Xenopus tropicalis: one gene and its partners. The protein of the gene in region 1 purifies or fractionates together with the protein of each later gene. This does not show direct contact. Links are inferred from orthologs where the notes say so. Each region holds a gene or a part of one and is shown in the gene's direction. Other genes may lie near its edges.

Evidence for each region.
Region 2: the proteins of e2f6 (region 1) and mga purify together in Homo sapiens (affinity purification with mass spectrometry; 3 studies listed by BioGRID and IntAct, counting the BioPlex papers as one, with this or other methods). This does not show direct contact. The link is inferred for Xenopus tropicalis from reciprocal best matches to the Homo sapiens genes E2F6 and MGA.
Region 3: the proteins of e2f6 (region 1) and max purify together in Homo sapiens (affinity purification with mass spectrometry; 5 studies listed by BioGRID and IntAct, with this or other methods). This does not show direct contact. The link is inferred for Xenopus tropicalis from reciprocal best matches to the Homo sapiens genes E2F6 and MAX.
Region 4: the proteins of e2f6 (region 1) and yaf2 purify together in Homo sapiens (affinity purification with mass spectrometry; 4 studies listed by BioGRID and IntAct, counting the BioPlex papers as one, with this or other methods). This does not show direct contact. The link is inferred for Xenopus tropicalis from reciprocal best matches to the Homo sapiens genes E2F6 and YAF2.
Region 5: the proteins of e2f6 (region 1) and l3mbtl2 purify together in Homo sapiens (affinity purification with mass spectrometry; 5 studies listed by BioGRID and IntAct, counting the BioPlex papers as one, with this or other methods). This does not show direct contact. The link is inferred for Xenopus tropicalis from reciprocal best matches to the Homo sapiens genes E2F6 and L3MBTL2.

What each region holds. Positions count from the first base shown.
Region 1 is NC_030681.2:138,935,306-138,939,264, reverse strand, and holds the start of e2f6 (transcription factor E2F6), read left to right. Parts: upstream 1-1,150; 5' UTR 1,151-1,288; coding exon 1,289-1,372; intron 1,373-2,967; coding exon 2,968-3,013; intron 3,014-3,959. UniProt on the Homo sapiens protein: Inhibitor of E2F-dependent transcription. Binds DNA cooperatively with DP proteins through the E2 recognition site, 5'-TTTC[CG]CGC-3'. Has a preference for the 5'-TTTCCCGC-3' E2F recognition site.
Region 2 is NC_030684.2:105,140,312-105,143,831, reverse strand, and holds part of mga (MAX gene-associated protein), read left to right. Parts: coding exon 1-146; intron 147-1,051; coding exon 1,052-1,663; intron 1,664-2,865; coding exon 2,866-3,162; intron 3,163-3,520. UniProt on the Homo sapiens protein: Functions as a dual-specificity transcription factor, regulating the expression of both MAX-network and T-box family target genes. Functions as a repressor or an activator.
Region 3 is NC_030684.2:119,967,658-119,969,985, forward strand, and holds part of max (protein max), read left to right. Parts: intron 1-820; coding exon 821-944; intron 945-1,922; coding exon 1,923-2,038; 3' UTR 2,039-2,328. UniProt on the Homo sapiens protein: Transcription regulator. Forms a sequence-specific DNA-binding protein complex with MYC or MAD which recognizes the core sequence 5'-CAC[GA]TG-3'. The MYC:MAX complex is a transcriptional activator, whereas the MAD:MAX complex is a repressor.
Region 4 is NC_030679.2:64,862,383-64,866,455, forward strand, and holds the start of yaf2 (YY1-associated factor 2), read left to right. Parts: upstream 1-1,253; 5' UTR 1,254-1,348; coding exon 1,349-1,374; intron 1,375-1,545; coding exon 1,546-1,671; intron 1,672-4,073. UniProt on the Homo sapiens protein: Binds to MYC and inhibits MYC-mediated transactivation. Also binds to MYCN and enhances MYCN-dependent transcriptional activation. Increases calpain 2-mediated proteolysis of YY1 in vitro.
Region 5 is NC_030680.2:115,987,152-115,990,505, reverse strand, and holds the end of l3mbtl2 (lethal(3)malignant brain tumor-like protein 2), read left to right. Parts: intron 1-536; coding exon of another isoform or gene 537-558; coding exon 559-708; intron 709-1,017; coding exon 1,018-1,127; 3' UTR 1,128-2,853; downstream 2,854-3,354. UniProt on the Homo sapiens protein: Putative Polycomb group (PcG) protein. PcG proteins maintain the transcriptionally repressive state of genes, probably via a modification of chromatin, rendering it heritably changed in its expressibility.

The sequences.
Region 1 (3,959 bases):
CAACCCTCAAAGTGCAACAATATCTGGCCCTTGCTCTCTAAAGCTGGCCATACTCGCACCGATACTATTGTACGAAACCTCGTTTCGTACGATATTCGGTGCGTGTATGGCATGTAGGCAAGTCGACTGATATCGCAGGAAGCTGCTGATATCGGTCAACTCGCCGATCGGCCAGGTTAGAAAATTTTGATAGGGTGCCATAGAAGGCGCCTGACCAAAATCTGCCGTCAGGGCTGAATCGGCAGAAGGAGGTAGAAATCCTATTGTTTCTACCTCCTTATCTGCTGTTTCAGCCCTGAACGGTGTGTGGCGGATCTGACGATGTTTCGTGCGACCATGTGGCCACCTTTAAGCTGCCCATTACAGGCTGATTAAATGTACACACTGCAGCCCACCAAACCAGACACCTTGAACGACCAATATCTGGCTTATGGAGTTCGACAACAGGGTTGTGTCTTTTTAAACAAACCCTAAACATACATGTATATAGAACAGCCCTGTCTGGATTCTATTGACCTACATGGGTTTGTGTCACTTGTACACATTGTCTCAGGACAATCATTTTATAGCTCGCAGTTAAAACCACTCACTGGGGATATTTAGCAAAGAGAAGCGAGTAAAGAAAAAGGACTGGAAGGTACTGAAATGCTTCTGTGCAATTAGTCTTCTTTTAAAAATCAGCAACACAGCTATGAACATAAACAGGCCCAGACTACTCCCCCCAGCAGCCCAATAAATAGTAACATGGCACCTTACAGCAGCCCCTCTGGCATTTGCCAGAACCCACAGATTGCCAGTCTGGGCCCAAGCAAAGACACGCTGGTTAATCCTGGGCAGAACAACACCGACCCAGTAGCCCACAGGTACCACTGATTAGTTTTTATGCAGTTACAGCAAAAGCAGCAACCTGATTGGCTGCCCTGGATTACTGTGCAAGTTTCCCCAGAGTTGCTACATAAGCCTCACAGCTCCGTCCCCCATAATATCAGTTAGCAGCTAAGGAGCAGCTATTAAGTAGCAGGACTGAGCAGTTTCATTCCCCCTTAGACTTCAGTCACCGCATGAAGCAACACCAGGCGCCAACCCGAGCTCGCTACGCCTTAAACCCTCGCCCACAAGTGCTGATAGGCTGACTCGCCATGACGACATGATTGCGCGACGCAGAACCCTCGCCCACAAGCGCTGATAGGCTGACTCGCCGTGACGACATGATTGCGCGCCGCAGAGCATGTCAGGTGACTGTCCCACGGTTCTGCGTGTGTGAGAATTCCCGCGGGTTCCTGGTAACATGTCTTCCCCGTCGCCGGAGCTTTTCAGCCCACTTCCCGCGGCCACAACGAGTGACTTGGTTGAAGCAGAGGAAGTAGTGAAGGTGAGAGCCGTGCACCTTCCCTCGCTGGTGTGTTCTGTGTTCCCAGCATGCACAGCGGTGTTATACAGCCGCAGGGATATAATCATTTATTAACTTGTGATGTCACTTGTGTATGTTATACATCTGTTGTGTTTCATTTAGCCTTAGCTACACAGTCTGCTGCTTCGCTCTCACAGTTGGCAGGGCTGCTGCTATACATGCCCCAGTGGGCCCTTAGGGGAGGCTCCTGTTACCATTGTCACCTACCTATAGTATATTCCCCAGGGATGTACCATTGTCACCTACCTATAGTATATTCCCCAGGGATGTACCATTGTCACCTACCTATAGTATATTCCCCAGGGATGTACCATTGTCACCTACCTATAGTATATTCCCCAGGGATGTACCATTGTCACCTACCTATAGTATATTCCCCAGGGATGTACCATTGTCACCTACCTATAGTATATTCCCCAGGGATGTACCATTGTCACCTACCTATAGTATATTCCCCAGGGATGTACCATTGTCACCTACCTATAGTATATTCCCCAGGGATGTACCATTGTCACCTACCTATAGTATATTCCCCAGGGATGTACCATTGTCACCTACCTATAGTATATTCCCCAGGGATGTACCATTGTCACCTACCTATAGTATATTCCCCAGGGATGTACCATTGTCACCTACCTATAGTATATTCCCCAGGGATGTACCATTGTCACCTACCTATAGTATATTCCCCAGGGATGTACCATTGTCACCTACCTATAGTATATTCCCCAGGAATGTACCATTGTCACCTACCTATAGTATATTCCCCAGGGATGTACCATTGTCACCTACCTATAGTATATTCCCCAGGGATGTACCATTGTCACCTACCTATAGTATATTCCCCAGGGATGTACATCCTGCAGTCCTATAGCTCTTGTTCAGCTGTTTTGCCTTTACTCATAGTTTGTTAGAGTCGTTCTGAGTGTTGTAATTCAGCAAGAACCTAATGGTTGCAGCTAAAATTACTTGTAATTCCCTTTACCTGCTATTAAAACACACACTTAGAGAATGTGAAGTCCATTTTTTTCTTCCATGCATTTAACCTGTACGTTAACTTTTAGCATGTTGAATGGCATATTCTCAGCAACATTTCATTTCATTTGGTCTTCTTTTTTTTTTTTTTTATAGAGTTATTTTCTTTCCCCTTCTGCTCTCAGCTCTCAAATGGGGGTCACTGACCCCTGCAGCTGAAAATCATTTGCTTTCAGTCCCCCTGTGATTCATATTTAAGCCACTGACTGGTTGCTATGGTAAAACTACCCTAGCAACTAGATAGTGGTTGAAATTCCAAGCTAGAAAGCTGCTAAACATATATTCAAAACACTCAAACACTTTACCCAGGATCACACAGTTCTAATAAATCAAGAGGTGCTGTTTTTTTCGGGTGTTAGATGTTTGCTAGGACTGTTCATGCAATCGTGAACAATGTGGTATTTTGCCTTGTGTGTAGTGATACAGTGAAACCAGGAATTACCCTTGCCTTACTATAATGCACAGCAAGCAGTGCAGGATACAGGCCCAAAGAAAGCTTAATTCTTTGTGTTCTTTTGCAGATGAAAACAGAAATTCAGCATGAAGAAATTAAGATACCGACTAAAAGTATGTTCATTTTACTCTTTTCCCACAACAATATGTTCCACCGGGATATCTGTGGCTTTTGCATTATTGCTTCTAAATATATAATACGCAAGAGAATATCACAAGAGTATCCTGTAAATGATATCCTTATAAACAGTGCTTAGTGATGTCATCAGTTATAAATGGTTCTTAGTGATGTAACTCACTGAAACTTGTGTATTATAATAAGCGATTACATTTTTCTAGAATCTTTCTTTGCGGGCTGTTCACATTTTTATAATCACTGCAAACGTGCTTATTTTGGCAGCTGTGACACATAGACAGTCCATCTTTTGCTAACAAGTGACGGTCTCTCCTCTCATTTGTCCTAATAGCAGCTCAGTAAGCCTGGGTGCCACCTCTAAAGGTTTGATATTTAATGGAGACCTAAAGAAAGGCTCTTTATAGCAATAATGCTCCCAGTCTTTAAGGTTATGTACAGGAGCTCTCCATCTTGTATTTTTTTTTTTTTTTTTTTAGAAGTGTCGCTGCACATGCTCAGTAAGGTCTGGGCAGCTGTTGAAAAGCTAAGCTTAGGGGCTGTAGCAAATTATCAAGCAGAAAATGAGGCTGGCCGGTTATAGAAGCTGATGCTACAGGGCTGATTCATTGTTGTTGCCGTGTAATCTGAATCTAAATCAATAACTAATCAGCTTTGTATTGTGACATTTATAAGTTGCCCAACTTTGGAGGCACAGATCTTCCCTGCTAAAGGGCTGTTGTTGCCTTTGGCTAGATAGAGAGAAACACAAGGAAAATAATAATCACATCTAACTTAGGTTATTTGAATGTTTCCTTTGGAACTCTGTCTGGTCAGGCACATTCTCAGTAATAAGCAGAGACATTGAAAAATGCATTTAATTAGTTAACTGTAAATAATGAATCCAATGAGCTGATACTTGCTGAACTTGGGTACCTTCCACTGGTT
Region 2 (3,520 bases), on another chromosome or scaffold:
CCTCTTCAGCCTTTCTAAACTGAATGAAGTAAAAGTCAATGCCCTATCAAAAGATGAAAAAACAGCTTCCAGTAGTGTTGAAGGGAAGTTTAAAGAAAACATTGCAGCAACTCTGAATGTTAAACAACCCACACCAAGAAATATTGGTATGTATGTGTTTCGAAAAAGTTCTCTCAACATTGTTGTTCTGAAATGTTTACCTCTGCCCATTGTCATAGCAATTACCTTTTTACCTTGGGAATTTATAAAAGCTAAGAAGGCTCATTTACTAGCATAGGTCCCATAGCAACCAATTGGCATTTAGTTGGGGCTACTACCAGTTAGAAAATAAAAACAAAGATCTGATTTACTTGCTATATAAATAGCACTGGCCTAGGTAGTTGTATATTCCTTACAAATTAATCTTTGAATGGGATGCAGGTTTTCGTTCAGTACAGTGGTGCTTGAAAGTTTGTGAACCCTTTACAATTTTATATATTTTTACATGAATGAGACCTAAAACATCATCTGATTTTCCTATTGAAAAAAAAAATGATCCAATAACATATCTGTGAATGGTGCTCTCATTATTTGCTGTGACCCCCTTGTGCAGCAGAAACTGCAACTAAATGTTTGTGGTAACTGTTGAACAGTCCTTAGCCCATTCCTCCATTCAGAACAGCTTCAGCTCTTGGATGTTGGTGGGTTCTGATATTTGCTAAAATCTGGAAATCCAATAATCCAATAATTTTAATCAAAAAATAAAATTTTTAAAAATGATTTCCATTTTCTCTGTAGTAATAAAACAGTACCTTGTACTTGACCCCAGCTAAGATATAATTAATCCTTATTGGAGGCAAAACAATCCTATCAGGTTTATGTTATTTTGAAATGATTTTTTAGCTTAAGGTATGGAGATCCAAATTACTAAAAGACTCCTTATCCAGAAAAGCCCAGGTCCCACGCATTCTGGATAACAGGTGCCATACCTGTACAATTGTATGGTTGTTAAAGTATTTTCTGCCACATTACCATTGCGGTTTCAGCTATTTTGATCTGTTTTACTTTGCAGTTCCACAACCTGCCCTCAGTACCACATTGACTCAGTTAATTTTAAATGAAGTTGGAACTCTTCAGCAGAAAACCTCAGAAATAAACTCATCTGGGACACAGAAGATTGCCCATGAGACTTCTCCATCACTGCTAGTTGTTACATCAATGGCCTCAGGAAAGCAAGCTTCAGCTATCTGCACTAATCCTTCTACAATTAATTTAACAAATCTGGCTGGCGTAGGCACAGTATCACCATCACGAGATAAAGCCTTACCTTCAATGCCAACTCTTATAAGTGTTACTAAACTATTACCAAAGGACACTCCTGTCTCTGTTCCCCCAGGGCTAGTAGTAGCTGCCTCAGGTGGAAGTACTCAGACTGCAAGTGTAACATCCTTTACGAGACCGAAAGAGTCACTTGCACCTCTTCCATCTTTAATTGCTTCACCCTTAGTAAAAACTTTGCCCTCTTCTACTTTAACTACATCCACAGTTAGTCTCTCTGGTACTTCCACAAGCATTGCTCCTCAGCTGGCACCAAAACTGGCACCTACATCAACTGTAAGGACTCTTGGATCAGTCTCTTCCCTGGCTGGTACTAATGCTATGCCTACACTAACTCTAAAACCAGGTATGGATATATCCAAAAAAGTTCTAATAGAGCTAAAGTTTTTAATTAAATATGGGGCACTAAACTAAGACTCAGTTATTAAACAATAACAATGTTGAAATTGAAAGTTTTGTGAGTATAATTATAATCTCAATCTAGGGAAACATTAATCAAGAGAAACCATGAAACTTTCACTTGTTATAGTCTCAGTAAGTCAAAAAGAAGGTATTGTGATTGTTTAAAAATGAGGGCATAGTGAAATGAGTGCATATTTTCAATGAATGGAAATTGCCATATTACACAGTTTAGAGGAGGGATATGTTATAGAAATACACAGAAGCACCACATTTGTACAGTGTGATGATTAGTCTAGTGTGGATGCTTCTTCCAAAGGCAAGGAATATGGCAGTTGCCAAGGATTTGTAAAGGTTATTCCATACCATTGGGCTAATGGAGTTCAGCTTTCACTTTTCCATCCAGGTTTTTAGTAACATGTGTCAGTGCTGTGCATGGCAAATGGCTGTTCAAATGGTTACTGGCAGCACTCCATTATAAAGTTAAAAAGCCTTTATTATCACAACAGGGGCAACAACAACGTTCTGAGCCTAATTAGCTCTTTATCAATGGCTGTGACAAATGGGCAGTACTGCTGTGTTAAGTGATATTCTTCTAAACTTGCTGTTTAATTTGTAGTACTGAATTCATGGGGATAAAATGCCCTAAATTGCAAGGATCTTTAGATTGAAACGGTCTTCTCATTTTTATAGCCTTGTGGTGTAGTTAAGTCAGTAACTAAGGTTAATCATGATACTATATGATGTGTAACACAATCCAGCTCATATCCATCAGTGTATAGAAAAGTAGCCATCATTGCCTGACTAGCACGCTCCAGACCAGGTCAGCAACACTACCCTGCTTGACTGATATCTAGTCAAGGAGTCTGAAAATCATGTCAGGCAAGGACCACAGGGGGTGTTAATTACATTTTTTAATATGGAGACCTGTACAATAAGGTTTGAAAATAGGTTCATTAATAATTACAGTATCCCAGTAATTTGTTTGACAAACCAGTAACTGATGAAGATTTGCAAACTTCATGAAGGGAAGTATCATTAAACTGAAGGGTGCCAGAATGTGGATGTATTCATAGAATACTGTAGAGATGGAATGTGTGTGTGTTTTAACTACCTTTTTTTGATAATTGTCTTTTGTCCCTTTTAAAGCTGTACCCCAGACCCCTGGTCAAGTTCCAAGACCATCAGTTTTGCCTACTGGATTAGAAAACCGACTGGGACCTCGACTCCTACTTATTCCAGTTCAGTCTGGCTCCACGCCTGTCCGTCCAGTGCAGCCAATGCCACAAACCCCAGGACAAAAGATGATTTTGCAGCCTATCCGAAGCCCTGGAAAGCTTAATTTATTCAGACATCCTAACGGACAGATTATCCAACTTGTCCCTTTGCAACAAGTTCGTGCCACTAATGTACAGCCAAGCAGTCAGTCACTTGTCCGTAATCCAGGTATCAGTAAAGTCACATTTAAAGGGGTGCTATTATGACACCAAACATTTAATATTAGTTTTATCCCATGGAAAAAAGAAACTTCTAAATCAAATTAATTTAAAATTCTGTACCACTTCTGATATTATTATCCCCATCTCTGACGTCTATCTTTTTACATGCACGAGTGAGTAGTTTTAGTTTTTTGGTGGGCAGTTAGCTGCAATAAATAAATGGTCTGTGCTCTCTTTGAGTATTAGAGCTGTTTTTCCCTACAAAAAAAAAGACTATAACACAAAGTATAAAACAAACTCTGACGGTGATTGTGAATTGATTGGCTATTTCTGTTATGCTGATGCTGATAGATACTAGTTGCCAA
Region 3 (2,328 bases), on another chromosome or scaffold:
AATGATACTGACACTAAAAAACTACTTTTCAAAATATATTCATATTTACATGTACATTATAAGTGTCTGTGACTCCAATAAAGTTCATTTTTAATCAAGAATTCTGTCTGAAGATTTGCTCAGTGAGTGCCTGCTCTTCAAAAAATAGTTGGTTCAATGTCACCAACAAAATTAAAGGGATTTTTTGGGGGTGCAGCTGCCCAAATTCCCAGTATGTATTCTAAGTTTTAGAAAGTGTGAGTTTTTTGTGCTCCCAGGAGGTCTGGTCATGTTATATGCCCTTTCTGCTCTGCATAGTAGGCACAGTCTAATAACCCATTAGCCATAGGATCAAAATAAAGATTTGCAGATCACTGGAAAATGTTTGTGAAATATTGCACTTATTTTATACTTCCTTTCACAATACAGGTATAGGATCCTTTATCCAGAAACCCATAATCTATAATAATTGTATATAACATGCCTAACAAATAGGTATAAAGTAGGTGCTAATAATTGCCTCCTTTTTATTGTTTGGCAGTATCAGTTCTAACTAACACCCAGCATCCTCCAACCACAAAACTGATCCCTGGTGTTGTAGTTCTGCAACAACTGAAGCAGTAAAGGAATGTCATAAAAAAAGTGTCTGTGTATTGTAAGTTGCAGTGAAATGATCTGTACAGTATTAGCAAAAAATGAGCTGCTGTACTGCTTAGTAAATAAACCAGCATATAACCTACACTAACATTTTTTTTTTTTTTTTTTTTATGGTGGTGGAATACAAGGCCTTTGGCTTACTTGCATTAACTAGTTGTTCAATAACCTTTCATTTCTGGTACAGGCATCGAGGGCCCAAATACTGGACAAAGCTACAGAGTACATTCAGTACATGAGGAGGAAAAATCACACACACCAGCAAGATATCGATGACTTAAAGCGACAGAACGCTTTATTAGAACAACAAGGTAAATGAGATTTATTTTAGGGTTACATAGAACATACAAAGCAGCCATTGTTTATTTGTTCAACCATGTACAAAGTCCCAAGCCATATACTGGACCAGTTTGTCATTTGAATATATATATGAGCAAAAGTAAACAAACAGCAGAGCCCGGAAGCAAAAAAACTGTGCGTATGTCGCATTCCCTAGCCTCTGTGTTTACTTCAGACCTCCTTGGCTACCATTAGGTAACGGCTCAGCCTTAAGCTGGCCATATTCTCACCGATAATATCGCATGAAACCTTGTTTTCATACGACATTCGGGGCGTGTATGGCTGCTCAAAGAGGTTACCGATATTGCAGAAGGCTGCGGATATCGGTCGACTTGTTGATCGGGCAGGTTAAAAGATTTGGATTGGGCGCCATTGAAGGCGCCCGAGAAGAACTACGTTCAGGGCTAATCGCCAGGTAGAGGTAGAATTTCTATTGTTTCTACCTCCATACCTGAACGTCAGTGGAGGGTGGGAACGATCTTTCATGGGACAAATGGTCGCGCAAAAGATCAGAATCGCTACGTGTATGGCCACCTTTTATTGAGGGCACCTAATTTGGGTTCCATTCATATGCTAAGAGAAGTGTAGTTTATACATCACAACTCATTTTGCAACCCTAGGGAGCAGTGGAGACTTGGGCAGGCAGTGACTTTGGTGATGGGCTAAAGGGAGGCAAAAAGGCATTTGCTGTAAAGTAAATAAAGTAAAAGGGAACTAAATCCCCCTTCACAGCCCTGCTCACTCCCCAAACTTATTGGTCCAACTGCAAAAATGTCATGTATTCCCCCCTATACCTGGTGGTAAAGGTGTATTACATCTTAGCAACTGATGTTCCCTTGACATGACCTGCTAATTGGTTTTTGACTGGTTTAAAGGCAATGAATGGATAACTAATGTAAGAAACGTATAGCAGAGTGACCCTAATGATTTGTCTGTTCCCCCCACTGTAGTTCGTGCACTGGAAAAAGCAAAATCCAGCTCTCAGCTGCAGTCCAATTACTCAAGCTCTGAGTCGGAAACTGAAGAACCCCAAAGCAGAAAGAAACTACGGATGGACGCGAGCTAGACTGGCCACAGCAATAAAACCAGCAGCCTGTACCAAGCTTCACTTCGGCCCCATATTAGCCCCTCATTAGCCCCGTCCAGCTCTTTTACAGACTTTTTTTTTTTCTTTTGGCCTCATCCTAATATTGTTATGCTCTTGGACTGCATTTTTTTTAATGAATTTGGTCCCTTCACTGTCTTCTGATTCATTAGTTTATTTTCTCCCCATTACTGTTATTTAAATATAAAGTACCATCCATGTTTAAAATGGATCGGATTTGAAAAAAGTTGGAAAAAAAAACGCCCGTCTAT
Region 4 (4,073 bases), on another chromosome or scaffold:
AAAGTGATGGTATTTTACAAAATATATAATCTGACAAAATCACTTTTACTTTCCATTCTGTACTCCCAAATCAATGCCAATTCCAATGTCAATGCCCTCCTCACATTTTCCCTTTCAAATAACTGTCTATAATTGTGTCTGTGCATTGGCATCAGGTCCCCAATTCTGGCACATACACAAGATTTTAAAGGTGATACAAAGTTTCCCTTAATAAAAATGTCCACAAAATTGTGCCTGTGCTTGTGACTGTAAATTGTAAGAATGAATGAAAGAAAATGTAAAGTTTATTTTGCTCAAATAAGACAAAAGAATTTGGAATTATTTCTTAAGGTGACAGGTCCCCTATTAAGACCTTACCATTATTCCTTTTCTCATTATTATTCTGATGTCTCCCAAAACATTTTAAGTTCTTTTTAGCAATGTTGTATAATGTCCCTTGAAAGCATATATTTATTTTTCTGTTATTAGGCACATATCATAATTATGATTTTACCTTTAGTTCCTTCCCCCTGTAATAAGTTTATAGCTATTGAGCATTGTATAAACAACCCCCACCCATAATCAAATAGCTACAGTTTCTGTGAGGCTTTCTGATTGGGGGACTAGTGATTTAAAGCTGCATTTTTCTCTTTTACTGACTTATTCACCACCCTCACCAGATGCTTAGGAGAACCACAGGAAGTTGTAAAGTGAAACTGCTTTTAGTTTAGTTATTGCCCTATTGTGTAATACATGGCAACAATATCGCTTAATTAAAACAACTGGGAAAAGTATGTTGAGTACAAGCCCCGTTGAATGCGTCTGTGTTAAACATGCGGATACACAACTCCTCTAAGTTTGCTGTTTAGCTGAGAGGCCCGGCTGCCTTAGCCTTGCATTGCTTTGGCTCAGTATTCTTTAACTCCATTACTGAGGTAGAGACAGAAGAAGAGCCACGGTCCTTTCAGCTACAGTCGTTTGTGTTGATTATGAGACAACCAGCGGTGTTTGCCAGCGCTTCCTCCATCACACGCTACGTGCGCCTACATTTGCCCTGCGCATTTCCTTGTATCCCCGGGCAGATTTCCTTTATGCTCGGACTTTTTCATGTGCGCTTTCTTTTCCATAGTAATGCCGACCATAAGGCAGCCCCTTACGGCCTCTTCTCCGCACATACATCAAGCAAAGTCGCTTTAGTTTTCCAAGCGGCTCTGGTATTGCTTTGTCGGCCTGTTATTGGTCGCGCCAGGTCACGTGTTGCGGTGGACAGCTGGCTGCGGTTGATCGCGGTCGGTGTAGGCGCCCACTCCCGCCTCATAGCCCGGGCTCTCTCCCCGCTCGGCCTGCGCTCAGCTTCCTCTGAAGCAGCATGGGAGACAAGAAGAGTCCGACCAGGTAAGAGCACGGCTAAAGCAAAAAAGGAAGTAGAAGCTGGTGAGAGGCTGCGAGGATTGCCTAGGCAATCTCCTTTTCACTGTGTTAGAAGCGCCCGAGGCCGGGGCTAGGGGAACAGGCCGCCTTGTCAGCGTGTATGCCCTTGTCTCTAACAATTTCCTCTTCCCCCAGGCCGAAGAGGCAGCCGAAGCCTTCATCAGACGAAGGATACTGGGACTGTAGCGTGTGCACTTTTAAGAACAGCGCCGAGGCCTTCAAGTGCCTGATGTGCGATGTACGCAAGGGAACCTCTACCCGGTGAGCGAGCCCGCCACACAATAACAGCACAGCCTCCTCACTTACTGACATTGTCTTCTTAGCCAGTCCCCACAATACCGCACTTGCCTCACAATTCTCACAATACCGCACTTGCCTCACATGCCGCACTTCCTATCCTGTAGTAACATTGCTGCTGCTGCTACACAATAACAACACATCCGTTTGTCTGAAACAAACAAGCACACCTTCTGCACGGAACATAAACACACAGCTCGGATGTGAACACATTGCAAGCAAAACACCAGCGCACAAATGGTTAACGAATCCCTGCAAGTATAGTAATTGTGATATATTACAGAATCACTTTAGTTCTCCTGTAATTGTGACATATTACAGGAGAACTAAAGTCATTCAAATGGCTATGCTGTTACCCCTGCCCCTACCCCTGTCTTTGGAAAACGCACTGGACTGCAGAGTGTGTAGTCCCAATCCTCTGTGCCAATTATGTTGGGTGCATATACAGTACAGTAATCACCCCTTTCCAGGGAGCTGCAGCGGATGCTGGGAAACAGGCAAGAAAATGGAGGCAACTGTCAAGTAGTCTGGGACAGTGTGCTTTCTAATGAAGACAAACACCAGTGCAGGGCAGCAGGTTAGAGATTAAAATTATATTTTTACTTTAGTTCTCCAGCAAAGACAAAAATATTTAGTGAAACGGCAACAAGATGCTTTTCCTACATAACACCACATAATAAAAAACAGCATCACTTTCAGTTGTCCTGACACAAGGAAAACTATACCTTCAGAATAATATGATGAAAAGTATTTGTTGGGTATTTAAGTGGCCTATTTAAGAATATTTCCAATCTGGAGCATATATATCAGTAAATATTACCCCTTTTACCTTAAGCTGCCGTTTTGTGATGGTCTGTGTGCTCCCTCAGAGATCACCTGGCCAAAAATATTGCATCTCTAACTTTAACAGGAAGTAGTGTGGTAGTAAAAGACAGAACTTCTGTTAATTGGCTGGTATGATGTATGTGTGCCCCATGAATCATGAAAATCATATAATCTGGTGTGGTGGTAGCCCTTAGTACTTAAAATTCCAGTTTTCTATTTTGGAATGACACATACTACTAAAAAAGGTTATTTTTCTAAAAATGGTTTATTTAGATAAAGTAGAGTTTTATATGTTAGCTGTTTTTTTTAATAAATATATAAGAAGTCCTCACGACAGCACCTCACTCCAAAATGCAATTAGATAGCCACCCTTGTGCACAGAATACAAAATAAAACACAACCAGCACCAAGGGTCTTATAGTTCAAACAATCTCAAGTGTATTGCATGTATAACCAACGTTTCAGTCCCTTTTCGGACTTTTTTCGAAAGTGTCTGTTATACATGCAATACACTTGAGATTGTTTGAACTATAAGACCCTTGGTGCTGGTTGTGTTTAAGTTTATTTATATATCCAAAAAAGACCAGCAACACCGAGTTATATTCCAAAAACAATTGTGTATTAAAAACGCATAAACAGCCACAATTGATTGATTTTGGAATATAACTCGGTGCTGCTGGTCTTTTTTGGATATTTAAATCATTTACCTTGCACCGGAGCTAAGAGCTGAAGCAGAGTGCCACCCTGGGTTCACTATATATATATATATATATATATATATATATATATATATAATCTCTTAGGTTTTTTTTTTTTTAAAGAGACCTACATTGTTCTGGGGTATGCTTTTCCTTTAAAGGAACAGTAACACCAAAAAATGAATAAAAGTAGCCAAAATATAATGTGCTGCTGCCCTGCACTGGTAAAAGTTGTGTGTTTACTTCAGAAAGTCTACTATAATTTATATAAATAAGCTGCTATGTAGCCATGGGGGCAGCCATTCAAAGGAGAAAAGGCACCAGCACATAGCAGATAACAGATAAGTTCTGTAGAATACAATAGTGTTTTATCTGTTATCTGCTATGTAACCTGTGCCTTTTTTCCAGCTTGAATGGCTGCCCCCGTGGCTACACAGCAGCTTACTATATAAATTATAGTAGTGTTACTGTAGCAAACACACCAGTTTTACCAGTGCAGGGCAACAGTGCATTATATTTTTATTACTTTAAAGCTCTTGCATTTTTTGGTGTTACTGTTCCTTTAAGCCAGAGGTATCTCCCCTGTGGCTAGGGCTGTTATCTGATGGTAAAAATAGACTTTGTCAAAAGGCAAAATATCCCTTTTGGCAAAAGGGATATTAAGGAAAGGGCAGTTACATTTATTGGTTTCTCAGAAAAAGGTGTCCTTATTGTTGAAATGCATCTGATAGTTTTAAACTTTTAAATTAAGCTCCATTGTTTCAGTGTCAGTGCCTATACACTGGCTGACCTACCAACTGCCCCATTATTTAGTTTGGCTATCCGCTTGCTAAGAAGTGACAG
Region 5 (3,354 bases), on another chromosome or scaffold:
CATACTCGGCCTGTGTGTGCCATACTCGGCCTGTGTGTGCCATACTCGGCCTGTGTGTGCCATACTCGGCCTGTGTGTGCCATACTCTGCCTTCCCTACCCTGCCTGTGTGTGCCATACTCTGCTTGCTCTATGATGCTTGTGTGTATGGCACACACAGGCAGCCTACAGTGACACAATGCTGGCCAGACAGGTGGGGGGCCACACAGAGGGGGGCCGCCAGTTGGACAGCACTGGAGTAGGGGAAACAATAGGTTATCAGCAAGCAGTTCTGTTGTGAAGTGCTGGCTCTTTCTGATAGCGCAGACTCAGGCACAATATTACAACTAAAAAAATGCATTTAATGGTTTAACATTAAAATGTTATATGGTAGAGTGAATTGCTTGCAATATAAACAGTGTAATTTAGTAATACAAAGTACACCATAAAAATCATGACAGAATTCCTTTATAAGTTTAGGTTATTTTAGTTCTTCTAGTTCATCCTTTGGTGCATTCTTACCTTCTTTCTAGTCTTATTATTATTATTCTTTCACAGTGTTTTTACATTTCACTTTAAGATGATCCAGCAAATAAGCATGTCATGGAAGTGGTGCCTTCCACAAGTGCTGGCAAGAATTCTGTGGATCTTGTGCCAGCTGACCTTGAGATGGAAGATAGCAGCAGCAGCAGAGAGAATATGTGCAACCCAAAGTCTGAAGAAGGCGAGAGTAAGTGGAATTGGAGGGTGTCTGGGTTGGGGGAACCATACAGCATGGAACGTTTAGTGAAGAGTTGTGAGAAATCCCTGCTATGGCAAAATTGAAATCTTTATCTAACAAAGTACACACAATTATTGGAGCAAGACTGTGGCAAATTGGTATATTAAAGTGATAACAACTCTATAGTGCTCTTATTTTTGCACATTAGAAGAATATACTTTTACTGCCTATTAGTATACCAACAGTTATTCTCATTCTTTTAAATCTTGTGGTGCATTGCTACACAGAGCATTTTACTCATTGTATCATGTCTTGCAGTTATCGCAGTGCAAATAAAGGAAGAAGAGATGGAGGTTTGTGAACTCGAACAAGTAAAGAACCAGGACATGAAAAAGGAAATTAAAGAAGAAGAGGAGGTGGAACTATGAAGCAGCTTTACATGTAACAATAATATAGCTGTTCATGTAATAAGCAAATCCAAGAAGGCCAGCTTGTGCTTTTTTGTAAACAGAATGAAAGTGACCATAGGCAGCATTAAGAACAGTTGGTTAGTGTTAATTGCTTTGAAGAATGCTTATTGGCATGTATGTATGTATGTATGTATGTATTTTGGCCCATGTGACCTTTATATGAAATCATCCTCTATCAACTGGTTTTGAAAGGTTGGGGACTGTAGATGATGGATTCAACAGTGGCATTTTAGCCTAATGTCAAATTTCAAAATGAAATTGAAAAACAGATTGTGGTACAGGACTCTGCTGGAGCAACGCTGATGCATTTTGCAAAAATCATGTTTTTCCGTGACAGAATCCCTTTGCGGCCAGTGCTTGTCTACTCTTTGTAAATAGGGCCCCTGGGGGTTTTCATAAAAAGATGTGTATTTATGTAAATATTATTATGTATATACAGTGGGGGTATTTTTGTTTGTTTTGGTCAATTGTTGAGCAATATATGTTGATGAAATACCTGCAGAGGATGAAGAGGGGTCTGATATCCAGTTGCAGCATTCTTTTATCCACTGTATAGGGATTATTCAATTTAAAATCTTTAAGATAAGTAACTTGAATCTCTATTCATTCACAAAATGCTGGCACATCCATGTGAAAGGCAAATATGCTGCAGTTGTGTTTTTCTCTTAGCCCTTTATATAAGTTTTTTTTTCTCTCATTATGTCAGAAATTGCCTTTGATTTCATAGCTGCTCTTCTATTAAGAGTACCTATCAAATGTGTGCAGGGCTGTTTACTTAGACTGGACACCTGTACCAAATGCCATGTACTGCAACTTTATGCAGTTACAGAGATTGCCCTCTGTGTTACCCACCCTTGAGGTTACTTTACCATCTCAATCAGGGATCCCCAAACATTTTTTAGTTGTGACCCACACGCAGATGTAAAAAGTGTTGTGAGCCACACAAGCATTAAAAAAGGGGTTATTTGGTAGCCCCATAAGGACTGCTGACCTGCAGGAGGCTCTACTTGGAGTAAAACTGCATCTCTATACTTCCAAAACTTGTCTCCAAGCCAGAGATTTAAAAATGGGTACCTATTTTGAGGCCACTGGGAGCAACACAAGGGGGTGGTGAGCAATATGCGAGCAATGTTGCTCACAAGCCATTGGTTGAGGATCACTGCTCTAGCTGGTGCCCACCTGGTGGCTGTATTATAAAATTAAAAAATGATTGGTGAACTTTGTATAAAATATTTACGAAAAAAAGCTTTAGCTTCTAGTTGTTGCTCTGTGCTGCAACCAAATACAATTGTAGAAATCCAAAAAATAGGAAAAAAAGCCTCAGCAGGTTTACTGCAAAACATTTATTGTGGGTAGTGGTAACTGGGATCAGCGGTTGGATACCAGCCATCTCCTGATCCAGCTGTTCACAACTGCATAATCTGTGATACATGAAGAGTTGCTGAGTGCCCTACCAGTGAGGTGGGACGTGAAGGGGGAACTTTACTTGCATAGTTCTGCTCTACATGGGACATTGTGCTTGCAAGTAAACAACTTTTATACACAGATTTGTTAAAGCCTTTGTTTGCCCTTCAAAAGCATACACACTTTTAAGATATATTTTGTCAGTTAAAGTAATTTGTAATATCTGGCATAAATACTTTATTTTTGTAAATAAACTTCTTTTTTGTAAAAAGAAAAAAAATCCTTGTAATATGTGACTTTATTTTAACACAAAAGGCTGTATTGAATTGAAAAAAAATGTTTTTTTTCAGATAAAAACAATTATTTTTCCCCACTTATTTGAAAGGGTTTGTGTTAAAAAGTAATTTCAATTCAAATTAGGTTTGGCTGGTCCCATACTGGTCTGGACTGGGAGTCAGAATAGGCCCTGACATTTCCAATACACAGAGGCCCAAACAGCCCAATAAATAGTGATTGCCAATGGTCTTTTACAGCAGTCCCTCTGGCATTTGCCAGAACCCACAGATTGCCAGACAGGCCTGGGCCCATATCCCCGTTCTCCTACATAAACTGTCCCACTTTATCTTGCTCATGTTCCTGTCTAAGACGGTTTGTTCCAGAGTGGCCCATGGCAAATTATATTTTTGGGTTTCAGCTTAATTCCACAGACTATTTTCTAAACACTTCCATTTTTCAAAAAACCATCTCAGAAGCTGTCAAACTTTGTTTTTAATAGTGCTAG